Tribolium castaneum: one gene and its partners. The protein of the gene in region 4 binds, or shares a complex with, the protein of the main gene of each other region. Links are inferred from orthologs where the notes say so. Each region holds a gene or a part of one and is shown on either strand. Other genes may lie near its edges.

Evidence for each region.
Region 1: MED19 (region 4) and MED8 share a complex: the UniProt entries of both Drosophila melanogaster proteins name them as parts of the mediator complex. The link is inferred for Tribolium castaneum from reciprocal best matches to the Drosophila melanogaster genes MED19 and MED8.
Region 2: MED19 (region 4) and MED21 share a complex: the UniProt entries of both Drosophila melanogaster proteins name them as parts of the mediator complex. The link is inferred for Tribolium castaneum from reciprocal best matches to the Drosophila melanogaster genes MED19 and MED21.
Region 3: MED19 (region 4) and MED23 share a complex: the UniProt entries of both Drosophila melanogaster proteins name them as parts of the mediator complex. The link is inferred for Tribolium castaneum from reciprocal best matches to the Drosophila melanogaster genes MED19 and MED23.
Region 5: MED19 (region 4) and MED1 share a complex: the UniProt entries of both Drosophila melanogaster proteins name them as parts of the mediator complex. The link is inferred for Tribolium castaneum from reciprocal best matches to the Drosophila melanogaster genes MED19 and MED1.
Region 6: MED19 (region 4) and MED31 share a complex: the UniProt entries of both Drosophila melanogaster proteins name them as parts of the mediator complex. The link is inferred for Tribolium castaneum from reciprocal best matches to the Drosophila melanogaster genes MED19 and MED31.
Region 7: MED19 (region 4) and MED7 share a complex: the UniProt entries of both Drosophila melanogaster proteins name them as parts of the mediator complex. The link is inferred for Tribolium castaneum from reciprocal best matches to the Drosophila melanogaster genes MED19 and MED7.

What each region holds. Positions count from the first base shown.
Region 1 is NC_087396.1:15,801,447-15,805,280, reverse strand, and holds MED8 (mediator of RNA polymerase II transcription subunit 8), read left to right. Parts: upstream 1-1,226; 5' UTR 1,227-2,310; coding exon 2,311-2,829; intron 2,830-2,875; coding exon 2,876-3,241; 3' UTR 3,242-3,334; downstream 3,335-3,834. UniProt on the Drosophila melanogaster protein: Component of the Mediator complex, a coactivator involved in the regulated transcription of nearly all RNA polymerase II-dependent genes.
Region 2 is NC_087401.1:8,393,464-8,396,172, reverse strand, and holds MED21 (mediator of RNA polymerase II transcription subunit 21), read right to left. Parts: upstream 1,328-2,709; 5' UTR 1,140-1,327; coding exon 1,098-1,139; intron 1,050-1,097; coding exon 834-1,049; intron 784-833; coding exon 610-783; 3' UTR 501-609; downstream 1-500. Other genes in the region: Set1 (histone-lysine N-methyltransferase SETD1B), read left to right, coding at 287-460; FAM21 (WASH complex subunit 2A), read left to right, coding at 1,588-1,707, 1,759-2,078, 2,126-2,318, 2,462-2,657, 2,703-2,709. UniProt on the Drosophila melanogaster protein: Component of the Mediator complex, a coactivator involved in the regulated transcription of nearly all RNA polymerase II-dependent genes.
Region 3 is NC_087394.1:35,203,805-35,208,101, reverse strand, and holds the start of MED23 (mediator of RNA polymerase II transcription subunit 23), read left to right. Parts: upstream 1-1,497; coding exon 1,498-1,911; exon of another isoform or gene 1,912-1,956; coding exon 1,957-4,297. Other genes in the region: stress-associated endoplasmic reticulum protein 2, read right to left, coding at 10-93. UniProt on the Drosophila melanogaster protein: Component of the Mediator complex, a coactivator involved in the regulated transcription of nearly all RNA polymerase II-dependent genes.
Region 4 is NC_087395.1:19,591,557-19,594,215, forward strand, and holds MED19 (mediator of RNA polymerase II transcription subunit 19), read right to left. Parts: upstream 1,490-2,659; 5' UTR 1,417-1,489; coding exon 1,236-1,416; intron 1,184-1,235; coding exon 927-1,183; intron 876-926; coding exon 600-875; 3' UTR 501-599; downstream 1-500. Other genes in the region: RNA-binding protein cabeza, read right to left, coding at 70-79; Ctl1 (choline transporter-like 1), read left to right, coding at 1,719-1,826, 1,874-2,256, 2,307-2,473, 2,522-2,659. UniProt on the Drosophila melanogaster protein: Component of the Mediator complex, a coactivator involved in the regulated transcription of nearly all RNA polymerase II-dependent genes.
Region 5 is NC_087399.1:8,918,250-8,922,355, forward strand, and holds the start of MED1 (mediator of RNA polymerase II transcription subunit 1), read right to left. Parts: upstream 2,801-4,106; 5' UTR 2,659-2,800; coding exon 2,640-2,658; intron 2,577-2,639; coding exon 2,437-2,576; intron 2,388-2,436; coding exon 1,672-2,387; intron 1,621-1,671; coding exon 1,389-1,620; intron 1-1,388. UniProt on the Drosophila melanogaster protein: Component of the Mediator complex, a coactivator involved in the regulated transcription of nearly all RNA polymerase II-dependent genes.
Region 6 is NC_087401.1:17,495,447-17,498,122, reverse strand, and holds MED31 (mediator of RNA polymerase II transcription subunit 31), read right to left. Parts: upstream 1,547-2,676; 5' UTR 1,108-1,546; coding exon 1,095-1,107; intron 1,052-1,094; coding exon 944-1,051; intron 887-943; coding exon 558-886; 3' UTR 501-557; downstream 1-500. Other genes in the region: uncharacterized protein LOC656943, read left to right, coding at 2,378-2,586, 2,639-2,676. UniProt on the Drosophila melanogaster protein: Component of the Mediator complex, a coactivator involved in the regulated transcription of nearly all RNA polymerase II-dependent genes.
Region 7 is NC_087402.1:3,009,666-3,012,254, forward strand, and holds MED7 (mediator of RNA polymerase II transcription subunit 7), read right to left. Parts: upstream 1,229-2,589; coding exon 1,037-1,228; intron 990-1,036; coding exon 516-989; 3' UTR 501-515; downstream 1-500. Other genes in the region: cass (apoptosis inhibitor 5), read left to right, coding at 1-148, 197-270; small ribosomal subunit protein eS10, read left to right, coding at 1,557-1,997, 2,047-2,082; RING finger protein 141, read left to right, coding at 2,249-2,388, 2,434-2,589. UniProt on the Drosophila melanogaster protein: Component of the Mediator complex, a coactivator involved in the regulated transcription of nearly all RNA polymerase II-dependent genes.

The DNA of each region.
Region 1 (3,834 bases), on a different chromosome or scaffold from region 4:
CCGAAAATGACAAAATTTACACTTTTATGAATTTTGTCTCCATCTCTGCCCTTTCAGAGCGTTATGATAGGATATTTAGGGTCGAAATCTCTACCTTTATTATGTGCTATTGCCAGATAAGGACAAAAGTTCAGAAAGTAGGGTTAGGGTGTATTATGATCTCTTCTGAAGTGTTAAATTTTAACTTTAATGTTTTTTGTGTGCTTTCCTGCTCTTCTAGAGCGCTATTAATTATTATTGAACATGTTTAAGGACAGACAAATCTACCTTGAGTCAACGACATAAATTTCAGTGAGATTTATTGAAAAATGCACTTCTCGTGTCAACCTTTTCATGAAAAAGGGTGTTTAAACGTTTATAAAGGGTATGTTAACGTGTGTTGTTAACTTTACCACGTAATAAAACATAAAGTATAACTTGGTAATTTTTTACTTTAACTACTTCTGGATTTTCAAGCTGAAACTTACACCAAACGATTCCTCTGAGTGCCCTGATGACCGTACACTATGAATTTTCTTGTGCAAATTGAAAATAACATTAGAAAAATAATTTTTATTTTCACTCACTTTTTACTTGAATCGCCATTTTTGTTGATTTTAATTTGAGTTTATTTTTTATAATATCACGTTAATTTTTATTATTATAGTGGATCAAAATGTCGTCTTTAGGTTAGACTATTGCCTACTATCGGTTAGGAACAACATGATCTCCAAAAATATAACGTAGTAATGAGCTCCAGAAGGTTTACGTAGATAGGTGCGTTTTTCCCAAAAGTGAGTTTTTTGAGATCGAACCGCAAGTGAGTCACACTGCGAGGAGACTCCCATAGACAGAAGTTGCAAACATAAGGTGCCAGACCGGTGCCAGTTTGGCTGATTGCAAGTATGTCTTTATCATCGATTCGGTGACGACTATTAGTTTCGTAAACTTAATGGATTTAATAAATATCTTTAACATTAAATGTGATCGTGTCATGTTGGGTAAAATTCTTCCATCTGTGCTGTCTGTGCATCCACCTTTTCAAATACAATTAAGAAATTTTCATAATAATTGTATTTGATAAGGTATTGGCATCATTTTGACGTGAGCAAAAATTAAAAAAATATAAAGTAATCGGAATTATTTTAAATTCGCGCCATTTTTAGTACGTGATGATGCGGCTAGATGGCTTCAGCTAGGAATTCATTGCCAACCATTATGTTCCGCTTCTATTAAAGTGTTATTCTAGGGCCACAGCCATTGCCGTCTCGAACTCCAGGCCGTCAGGTTACTAGCTTTTGTTTATTGTGACGTCATCGTAAGAGTCGTGACATTTGTTCGCATCGTTTGAATATATTGTACTTTTTGGTGTTTTTGAGAGTGTTATTAAGTAATTTGTTGTTGTTTACGAATTTGTTGTTTTGTGGTTGCGTTGTAGGGAATGAATTTTGTGTGTTTATAGTCTTGTGTGACGTGATTTTGACAATTATAGGTTAGGATAGTTTTGCATTATTTTTGTTTATAAATTTGGTTTTATTGTTTTTAATCGTTTAATTTGGTAATAAATAAGCAGATAAGGCATATTTCAGTCTCTAAACCTAACATACTTAATCCTATTGCATTCCTAATTTTAGAAAATGCCGAATAAGTGTTGTGTTCCCAATTGTGTGTCTAACATGAATGGTCCTTATGTACCTATGTTTTCCTTTCCCAAACAAGAATCCCTGCGATCATTATGGTCAAGAAAGATACCCCGAACTAATTGGACTGTTACCAAGAACAGTCGTGTTTATGTGAAATATTTTCGGGATGATTTTATAATAAAATATCACGAAGTGACTAGAGATGACGTAAAATTCTTCGTCATATTCTTATACTTTCGATCACACTTTTACGACTAATTTAAAACATATTTAGCGAATAATAACATGTTGCATTCCATAAGAACCTGTGTTAAAACTTGGATAAAACGGTCGTCTTTAAGTCGCGGTTATTCAAAATTTAGGCCCATAAGGAGAATTTTTGTATTAATAGACGTAACTTTAGACGTTTAAGTACGGCTAGATGGTTTAAACTATCAAAAAATATAAACTTTAATATATGTTTTTCGGGTAATAACAAACGGATAAGGTACTTTAAATCACAACGTATGTCACTATAAAAATTATAGTTGACCGTTCGTTGACCACATTTGCAGTATCAGGATTCTTTAGATACACTTTTCCGTCGTTTCTTGCATAAAACGTTGGACGCAACATAGTTAAAATTAATTTTTTGCAAAAATTCAGAAAGTTAGGTTATGATCATTTAGACTCTTACTGTGACGTCACAATGTCAACATGCAGGCCTGGAGTTCGAGACGGCAATGCCACAGCCGACATACCGTCATCGTGGTTAAGGTTATGTTTTTGTAAACAGCGCCAAAAATACAGCAAAATGCAACAACGGGAAGAAAAACAACTCGAATCGTCTCTCGATTCCATAATCCAGCGTGTCAACGACCTAAAATCATCGATAGCTTCAATGATTTACAAGGTGGAGAATGAATATGAGACCCTCAACTGGCCCACATTTTTGGACAATTACGCCCTTATGTCCGGCCAACTCACCTCCCTTTCGAAGGTTTTAAGCCACGACAAATGCCCCACCCTCAGAAATCTCACAGTACTGCCCCTCATGTTGTCCCCCGAGCGGGACGAACAATTGGCCCAAATGACCGAACACAGAGTCACAACCTTCGCCCATGATTTAGTCCCAGATTATCTTCGAACCAAACTAGAACCGTTGGCGGAGAATAAAATGATGCAATTGGAACACAAGGCGTCAACTTTATCGTATGAGAACGCACAGGTATGTTAAAATTTTTGGTAGAGTATGTTTCAACGCAAACTTTCAGAAACAAATTGCTGCGTATCAAAAGGTTGTGTCCCACGTTTGGGAACTGGTGAGTAAAGCGAGGGAGGAGTGGGAAGTTGAGTCTTCCGCCAGGGGAAGTACGCAGCAGAATTCCAGTGTGGCTGATACTCACTCGCTTGTGGCGGCTGTTGGAATGGGGAAGGGACTCAAGATGGGGGCGAACCCTAACGGTCAGCCCAATCCCACGTCGGGAGGGATGATGGTGCCTCCGCAGGGGCGCCCAGGGGGCACTCCCGGGCAAGGACAGATGCCCCCCAGCACGCAAACCATGACGATGAATAAGGCGCCCTCTGCTATTAAGACTAACATCAAAAGTGCCACCCAAATACATCCATATGGACGCTAGTGAAATAGTTTTTAATGTGTACGGAGATATATTTATTTATTAAGATATAATCTTACAAAAATAACTAAATATAACAGTGGAAACAAAGATTAACACTTTGTAGCGTAATGAGTAGATTATAAAAAGCATTAATTTTATAGACTTTGAAACTATACTATCAACAAATGGTTGAAGTGTGGCTGGTCGGAACGGGTGGCTTTTCCAATAAGTACAGCGGAACTTGAACATTTTCACGATGTATGTTAGCACATGCTACGCATTATATAAAATATAAAACATATAACATTTAGAATACTTGGGACCCAGTCAAACAAAAATTAACAACTTAAAAAAATATTTTCTACAACGTAACGCGGGTGACTGGACCCTGTTTACGTATAATACGCATTTAAAAAAATATAACAAACAACAAATAAAATACTCTTGTGCATAAATTGCAACTATTCTATGGTCATATATTTTCCTTACATGGCAAGAGAATTTTCCTAAGTTTTTGTTCCCTATATACAAAGTGGTACAATAAAAGAATTCAACTCTTTATACTCTCTAATTTGTTAATATACTTTTGTTTCTTAAAATACTGACCAACAATT
Region 2 (2,709 bases), on a different chromosome or scaffold from region 4:
AGTTTGCGACAACATATTTCCATTTTCAACGGTGTAGGTACAATGTGTTTTTAAATGATTCTTGGTGTACGTGTAATAGAAAATTTTATTCTCCATAAATTTCTTCGTAGGATTTTTCTTGTGTTCTTGATTTGTCCATTTGTTTTTAAATTAATTTAAAACGACTTGGCGCCGAGACAGTATAATGCTCAAAGCGCCCTCATTTTTACATTTTGGGTACGATTTTGTATCTCGTTTCGTTTCCTAAGCGACAGTCTTCCATAACCCGAAAAAATGATTTTTACAGCCGAATTGCTACGCCAAAGTCATCACAATCGAGTCGCAAAAGAAAATAGTGATCTACTCGAAACAGAGCATAGGTGTGAACGAGGAAATTACTTACGATTACAAATTCCCGATCGAGGACGAGAAAATCCCGTGTCTGTGTGGCGCGGCCACGTGTCGAGGAACACTTAATTAAAGGGAAACAAGACAGACTTTAAACCGAGTTAGTTACTATATAAAATTTAAATTATCTTTTTTATTTGTATATATGTTTCTGTAAATAGTACATGGTTATTTGTGTTTGTTTTTCATCACAACCGCAAATAAAATTCATTAACAGCTCACTTAACTATCCTTACTCCCCGCTTTTGTCAAATGCTGCATGTCCAGCTGTGATTGGGCGATGTCGCTCAACGCCGCCTGGATTTGCTCCAAGAGATCCTGACCTTTACGAACTATAGCCTCGAGACGCTCAGCAGACTCTTGATTGTCTGATTCCAAAATTCGCAAGCTTTGCAACTGAAACAGTGTTTAGTCCGCGGTCGGACCAAGTCATTGTAGATAGGTACCTGTAATTCGGTTGAATTTTCCTCGCTCGGGAGCGATTCAATCAAAGTATCTATGTCTTTGGCACAGCGCGCAATCAACGTTGTGAATAACTGGACGTAGTCTTCTTGGTTCTGTTGCTGGGGGGTTTGGGAGCCACTCCTGTCGAAGTTTGGGAATTTGCTAGGAGGGGCGAACTGTTGCAAAATCCCAATGCTGTTGCAGAAATGCTCGGCTTGCTGCGACAACACGAATGCAATTAGTGGTACAGTCTTAGGGGGAATTACCTGATTTATGCAATCCTGGAGCTGGGTCAAACGATCGGCCATTGAGGTTATGTTACCCAATCACCGACAAGTGATAAGACCCGAAATCACATAAAAACCAACACTGATGATAATTTGTTATCTCCCGAGGTTTAATATGCGACAAAATATATTAATTCGTACGAAATAACTAGAATAATACTAGAAGGTGAATGACATCTTGCAAAAACAAACACACATGATTGCCAACCCAAATCTGGTTGGGTAAAGTCTGCGTAAATTAATCCCACCGGGCCGAAGTTACATTTTAGTTATCACGCCTGATTTCAAATATAGTAGAACGGTTTTATTTACAAATTAATTGGTTTTATTTAATCAAATAATAACGCAAAACCGGGGAGTAATAGCCAACCCACGAGTTGAAAGTCCCCAAGTCAGTTTTTGACAGATGTCAAATTATTATTATTATTAATGAAAAATAGCAATTACAGGCCTGTTCAGCGCTTTAGAAATGTCCGGGGCCAAGCCGTGGGAGCGACCATGGTCCATGGACGAAATAATCCAAAATTCGGACAATTGGAATTTAGCCGGAGATGTGGCCCTTTTGAACACTCTCAAGGCTTTTGCAGACGTATTTCGCATTTTTGGCCCACATTGAACCGTTTCAGCGTTCAATTTTTAGAATCTCCTGACTCGAACAACCGAAATCAACAATAACTTGCAAAATTTGACAAGCTCCCTGTCTGAGACAAGTCTCCAGTTGAATATAGCCCAAAACGAGTTTCAAAGTTTGCGAAACAGCCAGTTTATTGAAAGTCGGGTTTATGAGGACGATGAGACTTTGGAGGAGCCGGTTGAGGCGAAAGCCGAGGAGAAAGAGGTTGATAAGACTGAGGAAATCAGGTTGGCGGCTTTGAAGGGTTTGGAGGTCTTGGAGACGTATTTTGAGAAGGTTGAGGTGTCGGTCAGTGACAGTGAAGACGACGATATCGACTTGCCCAAGTAATTTTTTTCTAAATAATTTACAAAAACTAGTTTGTCTTTTCCAGTTTTGTCCTCAGACCCAAAGACTTGTACCTGGAGCGCCCCCTTCCGTACGTAATCGGCTCAGAAGAGTGGCAAAAGACGTGGCACGTGGGCCTGGAGGACTCGTCCAGCGATAGCGAAACTGAGAAAGTCTCAGATAATTTCAGTGAAAGCGACTCAGAATCAGAGTTGCCAATTATTCCCGACAGAACACAGGTACTTTACACATGTTTTTCCACTGGTTGAGTTGCACTTGATCCATTCATTATCATAATTTTATTGGTCTATTAACCGGCCAACCGAATTTTTTGTTTAGTCGCGATCCAGTCGCCATGGGCAATATCTGGTTCTTTTTCCAGATCAAGGGCACCTCTGATACCAGTTCTGAGGACTTGCGAACTGAACCGAAAAATTTCGTCAATTCGAGTGATAGTGAAAACTCAGTTCCGGTGCAACCAACTACCAACTTTGCCGAAGAGTTGGCGGCGAAATTGGGGAACGTGATTGATCAAGAGTACGTCAATCGACGGCCAATCCAGAAAACGCCACAATACGGTAATTGTTTTTGGAAGCGGACCGCAGACTAAACGCTAATTCCAGATAACCT
Region 3 (4,297 bases), on a different chromosome or scaffold from region 4:
CGTACTCACCGACGATTTGGGCACATTCCCTCGCAAGACCACGTTCTTGCTGGCCTTTTCGTTGGCGAAACGCATCCGCTGTTTGGGAGCCATCGTTCACAGGAAAAAAATACGGAAAAGTGGAAATAATTCAACAGAAAAACATACACACGCGTTTTTGACACGTCCGTGCCTCGACACTGGCCCGAAAAGTGCGGAGAGGGGCAAGGGAGGCGCTTTTTTGACGTTTATTTGACACGTAAGATGAAAATGCGCATGCGCCACGGACGCGTGGAGAATTTCAAACAAGGGAGGGAGTGCTAGAAATTTCCAATGGGTTCATTCAATTTGCAATAATTTATGATAATCAAGTATATGCCTAGTTTTCTTGGTCATTTTCCTATCTTCTATGCATTTTTTTCAAACATCAAAAACAACGTTGAATTTGACTTTTTACCCTGATTTTTAACTCAGATTTTTCAAAAAACAAAAATTTTAAGGTGCATTTATTTCGGCACAAATTTTACATAGATATTGTAAAGGTTTCGTTACTTTTTTGTCAGTATTTTATGCGGTAAATTATGGGAACGTCGTTGAAAGTTACGGATCTTCTGGGTGTGTTTGCGGGAGCGATTCGGTTCGTAATTAAGGACAAGCGTCTCAGACTGTTTCTGAAACTATTCATTCTTGAAAAAGTCCTTTCATTCATGGCATTGGCATTAGCCATGTTGTTGAGGAGCTTTAGCGACATTTCAGGGATTTTCAAAGAGTGGACTTCGGGATTATTATCCAGCCAAGTCAATAATTGTTTCATAACTTTCACCTGTTGGTCAGGAGTGACCTAAAGAAGGATAATTGCACGTTTAATTGCAACAATTAAATTGTACCTTTGTTAGGGCTTGTCGAATTAAGAATTCATCTTTCGTCGACATCCAAATAACGGGAGTTCTTTTGCTGCAAAGCCACATGTAGTTTGATTTCCCAAAAATACTTTCCGCACATTTAATTTGTTGAGCGTGCATTAAAATTTGCACCTAGGGAGAAGAAACAAATAAATTAAAACGATTTAAATGAGTGACACCTCACCTGTTCTATGAACTGTGAGTTCATATCGAAATGTGAGACAAAAAGAACTCTTTAAGCGCATAATGAACGAGACGTGCGGTAATAATATTGCCTTTATTAAAAGATAAGCAAACAAATTTTCACGTATGAAGTGGATATGCAAATAAACGAATAGATTCGGGCTGATATGAATTTTATTACAATGTGGCTAGGTATGGAATAATTTAGATTGACGTTGTTTGAGAGTTGATAACATCTTACAACGCACGCAATTATTTATTATCTCTGAGGATTCACCCAGCAAGTCAAAATAATCGAATACGGTTCTGCAGTGTTAGGCGCTTGTATAATGTGTTGCCTAAACATGTAGTCGGCCAAACATAACCTACCGTTATTATCCCATTCAAATAACCACAAAATAATGTTTTCGCCTGAAAAATAACCGTGGACACGATGGGCGAGCCACTAACAAACGTCCTAACCGACATTCTCAAAGTTGAAGGCATCGAAGAAGCCTTTAGTTGCTTTCTAGTGCACCGCCCCAGTGCCGAAAAGGAAAAGGTGGCTGTATGGCAACAAGAGTTGAACACAGCCCTGCGGAGCATCCCCCAGGAGCAGCTAGACACCGCCCTTCGCCAGTACCTCAACACTGCTGTACTATGTTCCCAAAGCAAGCTCCAGCTCTTGATGGAGCTCCTGGAAAGTGTCGTGCGCAACGGTACCATTGGGGCCCGTATCGTGTGTGAGGTGGTGATGAATTTCGATAAACTACAACACACCAATGCGCGGTTCTGGATCGAGTGCTTTAAACTCGTGCGGAAAATTATAGATTTGGTTGAATACAAGGGCGTTCGCGAAATTATGAAAGTAAGTGGGGAATTGTTGTGGTAATTGTTTGATTGTTGATTGTAGGGATGTTGCGAGAAGGCGAAAAGTCTCCCCTGGCGCTTGAACGCGGGCTTGCAGCCCCAAACCCAGGCTCTTTTAAGCGTCGCTGAACGAATCATGGACAGGAACGCGTGCCTCCTGCCTGGCTATCTCCTAGTGAACGAGCTCCAGAAGGCCTACCCTGACTGCCCCCACTGGCGCCTTGCTGCCCTCTTCTCCGATTACGTTGGCAGTTTTCGGGCCTGTGCCCAAATGGTGGCTATCGTAGGCCAGGCGGAAATGCGGCCAGTTGTGGAGCACAGCGGCTGTCCCGAACACTTGGTCAATCCCTGGAAACTTGACCCGTGCACGTTGCGATTCTCGCTTAAGGGCACTTTACCGTACGCTCCCGAATTACTAGAGAAGCAAACCGGTTTATTACGATACGTTCTGGAACAGCCGTACAGTCGCGACATGGTGTGTGGCATGTTAGGGTTGCAGAAACAGCACAAGAGACACTGTGCCGCCCTTGAGGAACAACTGGTCGAGTTGGTGATTTTGGCGCTGGAACGCACGGAAAATGAGGGCGATGAGAGCGCCACTCAAGGGTTATGGCTGCACTTGTCGTCCCAGTTAATTTATTTTGTTCTTTTCCAATTTGCGAGTTTCCCAAACATTGTTATATCGTTGCATTCGAGACTGCAAGGGCGCGACTTGCGGAGAGGGCGCGACCAACTCATGTGGGTCCTCTTGCAGTTTATTTCCGGTTCGATTCAGAAGAACCCCCTCTCGAATTTCCTCCCAGTTTTGCGGCTTTACGAACTGTTGTTTCCGGAACAGGAGCCCCCTTTGCCCGTTCCGGACTTCAACCAGCCCCAGTGTACGAGACAGATGGCAATGACGTGCATTTGGATCCACTTGACTAAGAAAGCGCAAGCCGAAATGACCAACTTGACTTGGCCAATTCCCGCCAAACTACGCAACCATCATGATTTCCTCCAACAGTTGGTGCCCCCTAATAACACCGTGTTAGCGATGGGAAATGACTACAGAATCGCCTTGTTGTGCAACGCCTACTCAACGAACCCCGATTATTACAGTAAGCCAATGGCAGCGCTAGTTGAGACGATCCAAGGGAGCCCCAAATCAACAGCCCCACCTACCGCGCCTTTAAGCATGGCCGTCTTGGACTCATTAACTGTGCATTCGAAAATGAGCTTAATCCATAGTATTGTCACACACGTGATTAAACTAGCACAGGCCAAGTTAGGAATGCCACTATCACCAGCTTTGGTGGAAACGTACAGTCGCCTGTTGGTGTACACCGAGATCGAATCGTTGGGCATCAAAGGGTTCATAAGCCAGTTGTTGCCAACCGTATACAAGTCACACGCTTGGGGCACCCTTTACACACTTCTGGAGATGTTTAGTTATCGGATGCACCACATCCACCCCCACTACCGTGTCCAGTTACTCAGCCACTTGCATTCGTTGGCAGCGGTGCCGCAAGCCAACCAAACCCAACTGCACTTATGTGTCGAATCGACCGCTTTGCGTCTAATCACGGGGCTGGGCAGTGGCGAAGTTCAGCCCGAACTGAGCCGCTTTTTAGCCGAACCCAAGACGTTAATTTCGGCGGAATCGGAAGAGTTGAATCGGGCGCTGGTTTTGACCCTAGCTAGGGCCACGCACGTGACGGGGGCCGACGGCTCGTGGTGTCACGAGTTGCTGGCGACCATTGCACAAAGTACCCCCCATGCGTGGGCCCCCCACACCCTCGAATGCTTCCCCAGGGCTCTGGCCGAGTTTTTCACGCAACATGCCGTCCCTAAAGAAAACAAACAACAATTGAAGAAAGCAGTGGAGGAGGAGTACCGGAAGTGGTCGTCCATGAACAACGAAAATGACATGATGGCGCATTTTGGGGTTGCGGGAGCGCCCCCACTTTTCCTCTGTTTGTTGTGGAAAATGCTCCTCGAGACTGATCACATCACGCCAATTGCCTACAAAATCCTGGAGAGGATTGGGGCAAGGGCGCTTTCGGCCCACTTGAGGAAGTTTTGTGATTGTCTCGTGTTCGAGTTTAGTAACAGTCCTGGGGGGCAACATGTTAACAAATGCGTGGATACGATCAATGACATGATCTGGAAGTACAATATTGTGACAATCGATCGGTTGGTCTTGTGTTTGGCGCTGCGGACGCAGGAAGGGAGCGAGGCTCAAGTCTGTTCGTTCATCATCCAGTTGGTGTTGCTTAAAGCTACAGAGTTTAGGAATCGGGTGCAGGATTTCGTCAAAGACAACTCGCCCGATCATTGGAACCAGACCAACTGGCACGAGAAACACTTGGAGTTTCACCGGAAATACCCCGAGAAGTTTGCCCCCG
Region 4 (2,659 bases):
CGAAATTTGAATACACGAGGTGATTTCGTACAGGGATGAGCGAGATTTTTTAAAAATCGGGATACTTACGATCGCCCATCTTCTACCGTTGGGATAATCGAACAAACAGGAGGAAAATGGATGCGAGGGAAAAGACGCTACGGATTGGGGGCTTGTGATTGGTCGGCGCTAACAGCCCTGCCAACCCCACCAAAAAAACACACTAAATAAAGCACGCCAAAATATTAAATTTTCCACAAACAACCTTGTTTTATATTCTCAGTTCCACTTGAATACCGTCGAGGTACTTAAAAACAACATTTGTGATGGATATAAATTGTAATAATAAGTTTGTATGAAACACAGCTGGAGAACTTGTTGTGGCAGCACTGAAAACCTTATCAGAGTTCAGGGTCGGCCTAAGGGCATTTGTAGGCCCTCAAATTTATTATTTTTTGATAATCATGAATTTAATTAATCTAGTGGTGCTAGCTTTGCTAAAACGACCAGTAAAAACTTAATAAAAATAACAGTCTGTTTATTTTCAAAAATAATAAACAATAAATAATAATAGATCTTAAACCTAGGGTAAGTTGGAATTATTCACAATCCAAAGATCTTCACGAATTTGAGTGTTGGCTGGGCGTTAGGCCCCCACTGTGTTCAGGACTGTGTTTCTGCTTTTTTCTCTTCTTTTCCTTTTTCCTCTTCTTCCGTTCTTTATCTTCGTCGTGTCGTTTCTGTTTTTTATGCTTCTTCTCGTGTGTATCACTTCCAGCATCGGTAATGGTAGTCTCCTGACTTGGAAGCCCCCCATCTTTGTGTTTGTGTTTTTTGTGTTTATTTTTATGCTTTTTCATAGGCGCCGCATTTGCGTAGCGGTATTGTTCAGGGAGCTAAAATCCAATACTCAACAAAACACATTAAAGGGAAATTATCAAGCTTACCGCCCCAGGGTGTAGTCTAAACCCATCCAGTTGGATGCTAGTCAATGGTAACAACTCCTTGCCCCCAATTGGAGGCTTCTCAATCACTGATCTTAGCGAACTGTTATCATGCTGTCCAGGAGAGTCAATAACGCCAGGCAAAGTTGGCAAAAACGAAGATAACTGTTCCTTGAGTTTTTTCCCACTGAATTTGCTGTAAGAGTGCTCAAGGCCATAATAGGCCATCAAATTCGTCGCTCCTGTTAGTTCCGACTCTCCTACAACCACCGTCCGCGTGATTTAAACGACTTCAAGCCTTGTCTTGCTTACCTGGAGGCTCTTTCATCAAATAGAAAGGTCCACTAGGGACAATTGAAGGGTTCTTTCCTAACAAAATTGTCGTTTTTAATGTTCCTGACGAATCCTGACGTGAAACGACAGGGGAACGAGCCCCTCTAGGCGAAGATTTGGGCGAATATTGTTCCACTTTACGAAACTGATCGCCCATCATCTTACAACTTCATCGTTTTGCAACAACGATGCAGCTGGAAATGGGAAATGTCACTTCAGCATCACGTACCAACACAAAATCGTCAAACAAACAAACAAATCAATTGTTACCCTGGTAATTTTCACGGTCTGGCGTTTGGAACCCTGCTAGTTTGGTAACTTTAGGTTTAGTTTGGTTGGCGAGATTGTGCAATTGTTACTGTTGCTAAGATACCGCGTCGAAGCCGCCGCCCCCAAAACATTGCTGGTTTTCTCAGTGAAAACATGCGTCTTTTGTGAAAAAAGTGGTTTGAGTTAACGAAAATGGGTTGTTGCGAGTCGAAAAAGGAGCCCGAGCGGGAAGAACCCGCTCAGAGAGGGTGCACCGACGTGTTTTGGTTGTGTTTGTACATTGCGTTTTGGTTACTAATGGTAAATAACCTTGATTGGTGTGTAATTTGCCTCATTAATATTTTTAGGTTTTAATTGCGGCGTTCTCCTTTGTCTACGGCAATCCCATCAGAATTATAAACGGCTATGACTCATTTGGGAACATTTGCGGGACAAAAAATAACAGAAAAATGTCCAATTTGGAAGTATCAGGACTGGACACTTCAGACAAACAATTTTTGCTCTTCTACGATATTAAAGAGCTGAAACAGTCGCTGAAGATATGCGTAAAACAGTGTCCCACGGAGACGTTAAAAAAAGTTGAAGATATCCAGAAATATTACCAAAAAACTGGCGTCAGTTTGTGTAGATATGATTTTAATTATGACGATTTTAAGAACAAGAGTATTGCGAATAAGGAGATTCTGAGTAGCTATTTAGGGCCGTGTCCGGCACTTCCTATTTACGAAAGGTATTTCCCCTAAACTTGTGTTCTATAAAGATAAAACTGGTTTTCTAAAGCACCCCAGTTCTCAACCGTTGCGTTCCTAAATCATTCCAAGATGCAGGCGAAGCAATTTTGAGCAATTTTTACGAAGCTTTGAACAGTTGGGACACACTTGAGCAAATTTTGGGCGACATATACAGCACCTGGAAGGAAATCCTTTATTTAACGTTTTTATCACTATGTGAGCCTTTGGATAGTCACAGGAAAATTTGTACAGTTTGATTTTCAGTTTTTTCGCTGTTAACTATCTCAATACTGCATCTACTGGCCCATTTAGTGTCGTACATAATCATGATTTTGTTCACAATTGCGAGCATCTTGGGCACAGCGTTTTTGTGGTACACTTATTTTGATATTAAGTATGATT
Region 5 (4,106 bases), on a different chromosome or scaffold from region 4:
AAGGGATTATAATGCGAAACTGGTCCTTAATCTTAAAAGAAAAGATTTGATAAAAAAAAATAAAAACAAAAAAATCATATTTTTTTCACATTTAGATTTAGTGTTATTATTAAAACTTGTGAATCTAAAACTAATTTATTTTTAAGATTTTTAAAATTAATTAAATTTTAGTAGAGAGGCTGAGGATAGGTTGTGAATAACGTGTGAATTTTTTGAGATTTTTTTCAAATTTGAAACCCCCTCAAACTCCAGAAAAAGAATGCGTTGTATTTGGGAGAAGGTTCGAAGAAATTATTAGGGATGCCTTGACTAAGCATTAATTTATATATTATTAAATATTCAAATTATTAATTAAAAAAAACAATTACAGGACATAAGTTTCTAATTTCCAGTCTAATTTTGATATTGTTAAAATCTTTAATAATTAAAACCTGCCTAAATAATTTTTTTAGAGTTATTTTCATACACAAGATTTTTTTGTCCCATCCGCCATGTGTAAACAAAAAGTAAATTAATCGTGGTTTCAAAAGTTTCAACAAAATCTACCATTTATTTATAAAGTAATTCTTAGAATTAGTGCCTTTTAAATTAACAGAATTTTATAAAGATTGTTTAGCGATAAAAATGTAAGGTCTTTTTTGTGTCCCGTCCGTCACCAATTTGTATTCTTTTTCCTGCTCATATTTCAAATTTTACAAATGTGGCTCCGACTATTGTAGGTTGCAAATTGTTTGACTGGTACTAAGTTCCTATAAAGAAAAATTCACTTCTACTGATACTGGTGATAAAAATTGGTAAAAAATCTATAGTGTCCCGTCCGTTAAAATGAAATGGCTGCTTATATATCAAGAATTGAGGTGGTTAATTAACTATTTTTTGACGTGAAATTAATTGTTTTTTTAATAATAATATAATAATAATAATTTATTTGTGGCAGTAAAACAGTTACAATATAATTAATTACAACAAGAAAAAAAATACGATAACAAAATTAAAATTTTCTACGAGTTGTTCCTACCACAAAGTGGACCAAAAGACAGCAAAGCTGATCAAGGTTTTGACCCAGACAATAAATGAGAAATAACAAAAAAATAAACAATTTGATTGAAGAAAAAAATAAAAAATATAATAATAATAAAATATCTAATTCTATTTAACAAAATTATAGAGCAAAAAAACACATAAGAAAAATCATTTTGTAAGAAACATTTTGTATTTATGTTTAAAATTGCTGATTTTAGAATTTTTTAATGTCAGAGGAACTTCATTAAGTAGATTATTTTTGATTATTTACCATTTTTTGGCTCTCGAAAAGTTTGTACCGCAAACTAGGAGAATCAGTAGTCAACATGACCATTTTTTTATAAATATTATTGCCAACCACTTACCACAAAAAGGCCCTTATTGTTCCCAGACTCCATTTTCCCTTCACTGGCGTGATGTACTATTAAACTAAGTAACGGATGAGTTGCTGATTGTTCTATAGTATCCAATTCAGTAACTTGTTGAATTTGTCTAACTAAATTGACACACATTGGCATTGGTTTGTTTAATTTGAGGACAAAACAGGCCGGAATTGCTGCACTATTTTGGCTACTTAGCGATGAAAAAGACGGCGTACTAAAATAAATTTCCCTCAAAGAAAAAAAAATTTTTTTTAATAATTTTTACCTTTTCCCGTTAATATTCCTATTAACTGTGATGAGAGTGGTCGTTTGCAACTTATGTGTAGCGGACCCTTCCATACACACCGTCACACTGTACCCCAGCGCTTTACTAACGATCGTATCAACAGTAATAGGTTCAATATCACATTTCTCAACATTTAATAAATCATAAGGAGAGACAAAATAGGTGAGTTTCATGGGGTGTCCCCCTCGGCGCTTCTCCAGCACCCCAACCGGAGACTTATACAGCAGGTTGAAAGGTTCCTTCATGAAAGACTGCAAGTGAGCCAAGGTGCTCAAATCAGACTCCAGCGACTGCAAGGCTGTGAACGCCTTACACTTGACCTTTTTCTCAGCATTGAGCTGGTAAATCGAGGCAAAACCTTCCAACTGGGCAGTGAAATCGGCAAAATCGCCACTAGATAAACAATTGACGAGCTCAGCGCAACTCTGTTGCTCCAATTTACTGTCATGGTGCACTTTCACGTCTTTGACGGCCCCCGTCTGGTCGAGCACTATCTCCAGGTAGAACATGTCGGAGGAGATGAAGAGCTCCACCCCCGAGGGGCCCACCATGAACTTGAGCCCCAGCTGCCGCGTCAAGCTCTCCAGCCGCTCGATCATGCTCTGCAAGGACGTCACTTTGATGGAGTGCTGCAGAGTGTCGAGGCATTTCTGGTGCTGGCTCTTCTCGACGCTGTCCAACGCGTAGCGCTTGTCCTGAAAGTAGGGCATCAATGGAGGCAGTGCCAGACATGACATAACCTACAAGCATGGCCATTCGCACATTTTTGGATATCTCTGTCAAGCTTTTGTACTGCGACGCCTTCGAGCGCAGCTTCTCCATCAATATCTCCAACTGCCAGTCTTTGGATTTGTCCACAACGGACGGTGGCATCGCTAAATTGCCTTAAAAGTAAACAAAGTTGTAAATGTCAAAAGTCAAACTCTTGGCTGGGGCGCGCAACCCACCGTTTGTTACGCGATTCATGATGAGTTCGGGCGAAATTAACGTTAAATGTTCGTAAACATTTTCTATTTGGGGCGAATTAAGGGAAAAAAACCGATTTTTCGAACATACATCAGCACCAAACAAAAACTTGACAGTTTCGTTACTTTCCCCAATTTAGGGATATTTGGCTACGCCACCGGCGCCCAATTCAAACTCGTGTCTGATAATAACAATAACAATAAAAATATTCAAGTGCTTTTCCATTCATTTGTGTTTACCAACTCTCAACTTTATCAAGATTTGATACTTTGGAGTGCTTTGAATTGGTGGCACATATGTTGTGCTTATTGCAACGCAAATATTTTAATGAAATGTGGTCGTAAAACAAACTCCCGGAATTAATCCGCGTTTTTTACCAACGAATTTCGTATTAGATCCGTCAATGACAATTAAAGCCGTAATTCGCTACAACTTTTCAACTTTTTAGATCGCAAGAAGTTGCTGACACGATAATCTCCTCATCTTCCCCCAGAACTGGAGCAAATGCCCGCTAACACATCACAACTAAGATAATAGTACACCATAGGCACATTTCCAAAATTTTGAATAGTTTATTCTCGTTTTTTTTTTTATAAAGAAATCAAATACGTTGTGCGTTAGTTTATACCACATAATGTTTTTTTTTATTATTTTGTAGGCATTCAACAAAAATCACATAAAATTGCTTAGTTTACTGTATTTCAAAATTTCTTAGATAGATGTTTTTTACAAAAAATGTTTCCAAACCGTTAAAACATGATATGAGGGAGTTTTAGAAGAAATCAAGCAAGATTGACTACTTTATTTTACTCCATGTGATTCAGATAAAATGAAAAGCTTTCAAAAACCAAATGCAACAAAAAATAATTTACACGAAGGGTGTTTTACATTTTATTTCTGTAATAAATTAATAATAGCCCCCGTCACCTTAGGTATCGTCTGATATTAAAGAAGAACCTTGGTCCCCTTTATACCATTGTATTTGCTGTTTCAAAACTATAAAAACGTCAACGTCACATTTTCTCACAAAATTTGCTGTGATGTGTGCTGTTATAAATTATTCATGCAGTTGAAGAAAATAATAACTAATGTAATTTATACTTTCAATGAGATATCTAATCATTAATAACTATTTTACAATTTTATCAACCTTATTTAAAAAATATTTGGTAAAGTGCGTCGTTGTTGTTTTTATAGTTTTGAAACAGCTAGTGGCAGATTTAGTGTAATAAAATTAAAAGAAAAAAAATTGTAGTAGTTATTTTTTTTAACAAGTTGCTTTGTAATACAAGCATAAACTAAATAACTCAAAATTGCCAGAAATCACGTAAATACATTAGTTTAATGAGTTATAAAAATTCATCCTTTTAGTTTTACGAATAGTTTTATTGAATTTTATAACAAAATTTATATTCTTCTTCAATAAACATTTCCAGAAATTAATTAAG
Region 6 (2,676 bases), on a different chromosome or scaffold from region 4:
ATATTTTTTTACCTGAGAAAATTAATCGCATTCGTTTCTTTTTGCCGCAAAATCAAACCTTTGGTATTTTTCTTGCGTATTTTCGCATCACTAGCACACAAAATTATCACAATAACGACAAAAATTATTTTGAAAAAATTCATTTTAATTGTTGGACGCATCGAAACGAAATGATTGATTTGATTGTTAATAGAACCATGTCAACAATTATTAATAAACAAATCGTGTAAGCCAAGTACACTTTTGGTGTATGAAAGTCGAGCGGATTTCGTGTACAGTTAAGTCCAATTGGGTCGAGAAACGGAACTTGTATTTGAATTTGGCGGGGCGGGTTCAGGGACTTTTGGTTTTGAGGTTTGTTACAAATTTTGCATTTTTTACGATTTTTAAGGAAAAACAAGGAACTTACCTTAATTACAGCGACAGCCAATCAATTGTGATTTGGATGGAAATGGGTGGGATTTTGGTGCAATTGGTGGGATCTTGGTGATTTATGTAACTAAACAAAAAAATAATTTATTTCACTTAACCACCAAAAAATCACATTTGTACCCTACCTAGCTGATTTTATTGCTCAAATGTCCGTTACTTTGGCTATTCTGGTTAATACTTTGTTCACCTGTCCCGTTAACATTCGAAGGGGTTAACAAACGACTCCTCCGCCTGGTGTAGTGTTGCCACAATAAAAGTTGTTGATCGTCGATAAATTTCGAACACTGAGCATTCACCAATTCCCTCCGGAAGTGTTCATATTGCAACAAATCCAAAAAATACAAACACATTGGATATTTCAAATATTTGGCGTATTCGGGCTCCTTCCAATAAAGCAAATACTTCAAATAGTTAACAAACGTACTATCCTTAAAATAACCACGCTGTGCGAGAACTAAAACGCAAAAAATTGTATTTTTTCCCTCCCGAAAAAGTGAGGTTACGTCATTACAGTTGAGATAATTAGGATTTCCGAGACACTGCACAAACTCTAGCTCAATCTGGAAGCGGAGTCTTTGCTGATCGTCGGTTTCCGGAGCCCCTGACATATAATTCCAGCCTAAAACTTGTTTATTACCTAAATTTAATTAAAGGACGCTTACCTTTCCCAGCCATGTTTGTTGTGCATAAAATGGCGCGTGATTCGAATTCGAATTTTTTTAATTAATCAATTAGGATAAATGCAAGTTCGTGTTGTAAGAGCGTGCACTTAAAATGTCACAAGTAACAACAATAGAAAAGCGACCATTAGAGGCTTGGCAAATTCCCTTGTTCTTCTATTGAAAGTATTATTCTTGCGTAATTCAATTCTCAATAATAAGAAATCGGATCGAAACGGTACATGTTGTAAGAAGCGTGTGGAAAAATCAATCGCTGGTGAAAGTAGCCCAGTTATTTAATTGAGCGGGAAATTGACCACCAATAAGAAAATAACTGACTAACATAATGATCCCCAACACGAGGAATTTTCATGGAAATTCCCATGGTGGTGGTATATGGTAATGGTATTTGTATGAAAACAGGTGGATGGGTTGCGGCTTTGTCTACAAAACATTGCTGCTTTGTGTGTGAACAATTTTATTGTTTTGTTGCTGCCTTTCAGTAAGTCGAGATTTTTTCTTTTCACTTTTGCGGGATCAATAAAAAATTTAAAGTGAGGACTTTAATCGCGTTTTTTTTGGCTCATTTATTGTAATTTTGAATTATCTTATCATTAATTATTTCATTAATTAATTTAACAATTTTCTAATTATTTAATCAGCTATTTAACGCCTGATTAGCGTTTTTAGTCTCAAATATGTTTAAAAATCATAATTTCTTTTTAATTTACTGTAATTACGGTTTAATTATTATCAGTTATTATTACTATTAAATCCTTTTTAAGTAAAGAATTAATTAAAAAAATGCTTTTCGATTTTTACAATTTTTAATTAAATTAAAGTTTCTTGGTAATCATAATTAAAATAAAAAACAAAGTCACCCTTTTATATGATTTTGCTTCATTTTTCGATCATTTGTTTTATAAAAAATTTGATGCAATAATTAATTCACTGTTTAATTTAGTAAATATCAGTAATTTATCATTGCTAATTTTAATGGAAACACATTACTTATTATTTTATTAATGTATTAATGAGAATTGACGAAATTCATAAAAAGTTCACTGCATTATTTTGAAATTTTTTTCTATTTGTTAAAGCAATTGTGCAAAAACTCGTGTATTGTTACGCGGCTACTTATCACAAGTGCTGTGTCCACAATCAAATATTTGCCGAAATCGTGTTTGACATTTCCTTGTACGCCACTGTCCTATTACCTAACTTTTTCACCAGTGGCGTGCACGTTACACAACACGCAAATAAATCAATTCTTAATCGTTTTTGAGGTTTCTCAACAATGAGCAATAAATCAGCGGTTGCGGAATTCTACAAAAACCGACACATCCTCATCACGGGCGCCACTGGTTTTATGGGGAAAGTACTAATCGAGAAATTACTACGCTCATGTCCTCAATTATCAACAATTTATTTGTTAGTTCGTCCAAAAAAAGGGAAAAAACCTAACGAAAGACTTGAAGATATCATCAATTGTCCTGTACGTATGTCTATCACTTGTCAAAATTTAAATCACACGCCTTTTTGGCTAGGTCTTCGATAAGTTGCGTGACCAACCCGACGGCGAAAA
Region 7 (2,589 bases), on a different chromosome or scaffold from region 4:
CCGGCCACAAGTGGGCAAAAAAGACATGTGCCTATCACGTTCGATAATGGCTCTACAGGGACTAAACAGACCCGACCGGCTCGTTCGGGCGACAACGTTAAATTGTATACACCACCTAGTGGAAAGTTTAGTAATAACTTCCAATACGGTAAATTTTATGGGAAAAATGTCTATTTGTTTTAATGATTGGTTTCAGATCGTGGGGGTTCACGAGGTAACAGGTCGAGAGGCCGTGGCTCCCGAGGAAGGGGCAGAAATTGGAGAAATTAATTTCAATCACCCTTCTAACAGTATTGCAGAAATGCAATTCAAATCATTATGTTCAATGCTTATTAGTAAGTTATCAAAACAATACACAACCCGCTTGTGTTGTAAATACCCTAGATCTTATTTTTTTTAATTAGTTCAAGTTAAAACGTGTGCTGGTTTTAATAGTTTGTGTAAAACCTCTAGAAATTTAACAGAATATGTTTTCTATTGTCTTAGAGTTCAATAAAACATTTGGAAAACTAACTTTATTGCATATCATCCACAATCTTGCACATAATCCTATCCAAAATAAAGCACGGGTCTGATTTGTTGTCCTCCTTTGAAGCCTTCTCTTGGTTTACTAAAAGTTCGGTTTCTACGAGCAACTTTGAGTCAACTTCCATGGGTTCAGGCAGGTTTTGAATCGCTTGTTGCAAAATTTCCATAACTTTGTCTAAATGCTTCTGGAACCTATTGGCGGTCTCAATCCTTTGTCGCCTTTGCAACTCCATCATGACCCTAAGCGTCTCCCTAGCCTGATGTGGCCGGAATTCGTTCAACAAGTGGTGAATGTGAATAAATAACAGACTTAAATCTTCGACTTTCTCAGCCCGCTTTGGCGAGTCGGGACAATTCACAAGTAGGTCTAGCAAGTCCAAGAAATTGGCCAACAATGACTGATTTAATTTTTTCAACTCCCTTCGTCTATCAAAGTGGAGTGGATACAAACGTTTGATTCCCTAATAAAATTATTAGTTTTAACCACGGGACGTATTTAGGGACTTACTTGACTCTCCAAAGGCCTGATTATGCTCTCTTCGGTATTGAAGGCATTGCCGAACATATGATACGTGTCTTGAATCGGAGGCGGCGGCCTGGGGGTTCGCCCCCGCCGGATCATCTCGTCCGTGTAGTGGTTGATGTACTGCATGGGGGGCAGTGGCAGGGAACTCACCTGGATCGCTTCCGACGATGCCATTATTTATTTTAATACAATAATTAAGAAAAATACAGTTGTTGACAAACGACAAATGTCAAAATTACATAAAAACCATCACAAAAACCTAAAATTACTAGTTTATTGGCAAGCCTGTTCCTTTTTCAGTTTGACAGCTGTGGTAATACCGCGTCAAGTAAGCTATTTTTTAAAATTCGTATTTATCTTAATCATCTTTGTAATAAATTTGACGAAAATCAATCACAGATCATTCTTTTTTCCTTTATCGTGAATCTTAGCCCTTTTTGTGGAGTTTAATTCACGTTAGGGTTTGACATGTTTTATAACCTCAACCACGGTTGATTTTAGGATGTTGATGCCCAAAAAGAACCGGATCGCGATCTATGAATACCTCTTCAAGGAGGGCGTCATGGTGGCTAAGAAAGACACCCATGCCCCTAAACACCCCGAATTGGAAAGTATTCCCAACTTGCAGGTGATCAAAGCTTTGCAGTCTTTGAAATCGAAGGGATACGTTAAGGAACAATTCGCCTGGCGGCACTATTACTGGTATTTGACAAATAACGGTATTGAGTACCTGAGGACCATTTTGCATTTGCCGCCTGAAATTGTGCCCTCAACGCTCAAGCGACAAGCTAGGACCGAAACAACGCGTGCTCGTCCCACGCCATTCAAATCAGAAACTTCCAGTAAGCCTGCCGAAGACCGTGCCGGATACAGGCGGACTCCCGGGGGGCCTGGATCTGATAAGAAGGCTGATGTGGGGGCTGGCACCGCTGATTTGGAATTTGTAAGTTATGGTAGGGGTTTTTGACGATTTTTACCACGGTTTGTTACAGAGAGGAGGCTTTGGGAGAGGAAAAGCGCCCCAATAAATTAAGTTTTTTATTACAATAAGGCATGATCAGCAAATAAAACCTTGTCGATCGTTAATTGTTTTATTAATTCCCTTTACTCCTGTATAGAGGACGCCATTATAGACGTCATTGTGACACTTGTCAAAATTGTTTACAATAATACATGTGATTAATTCGTGTAATAATGGGACAACAGAGTTCCCAATTTCACGAGTATTTTAACGATATAATCACGGATGAGCCCGTGCTTACTTTACTCTCTGAAGAAATTCATACTCTTAGTTACGAGAAATTTTTGACAATACTTGGGGAACTCAACCAACTGTAATAACAGTTCCTGTGTGGTTGTTATTCATTGTACTATTTTAGCTCCAAACAGCGTTTAGATTCCGAGGGGAAACAGTTAGTGTTTGCTGTAAAGAAAGGGACAGATTCTACAGTTTTCTGGAAAGCTACGGTGCAAATAGCTTGTGTTAAAATTGACTCTAATACTCAAAAAGTGAGTACGTACCGACTGTTAAACCT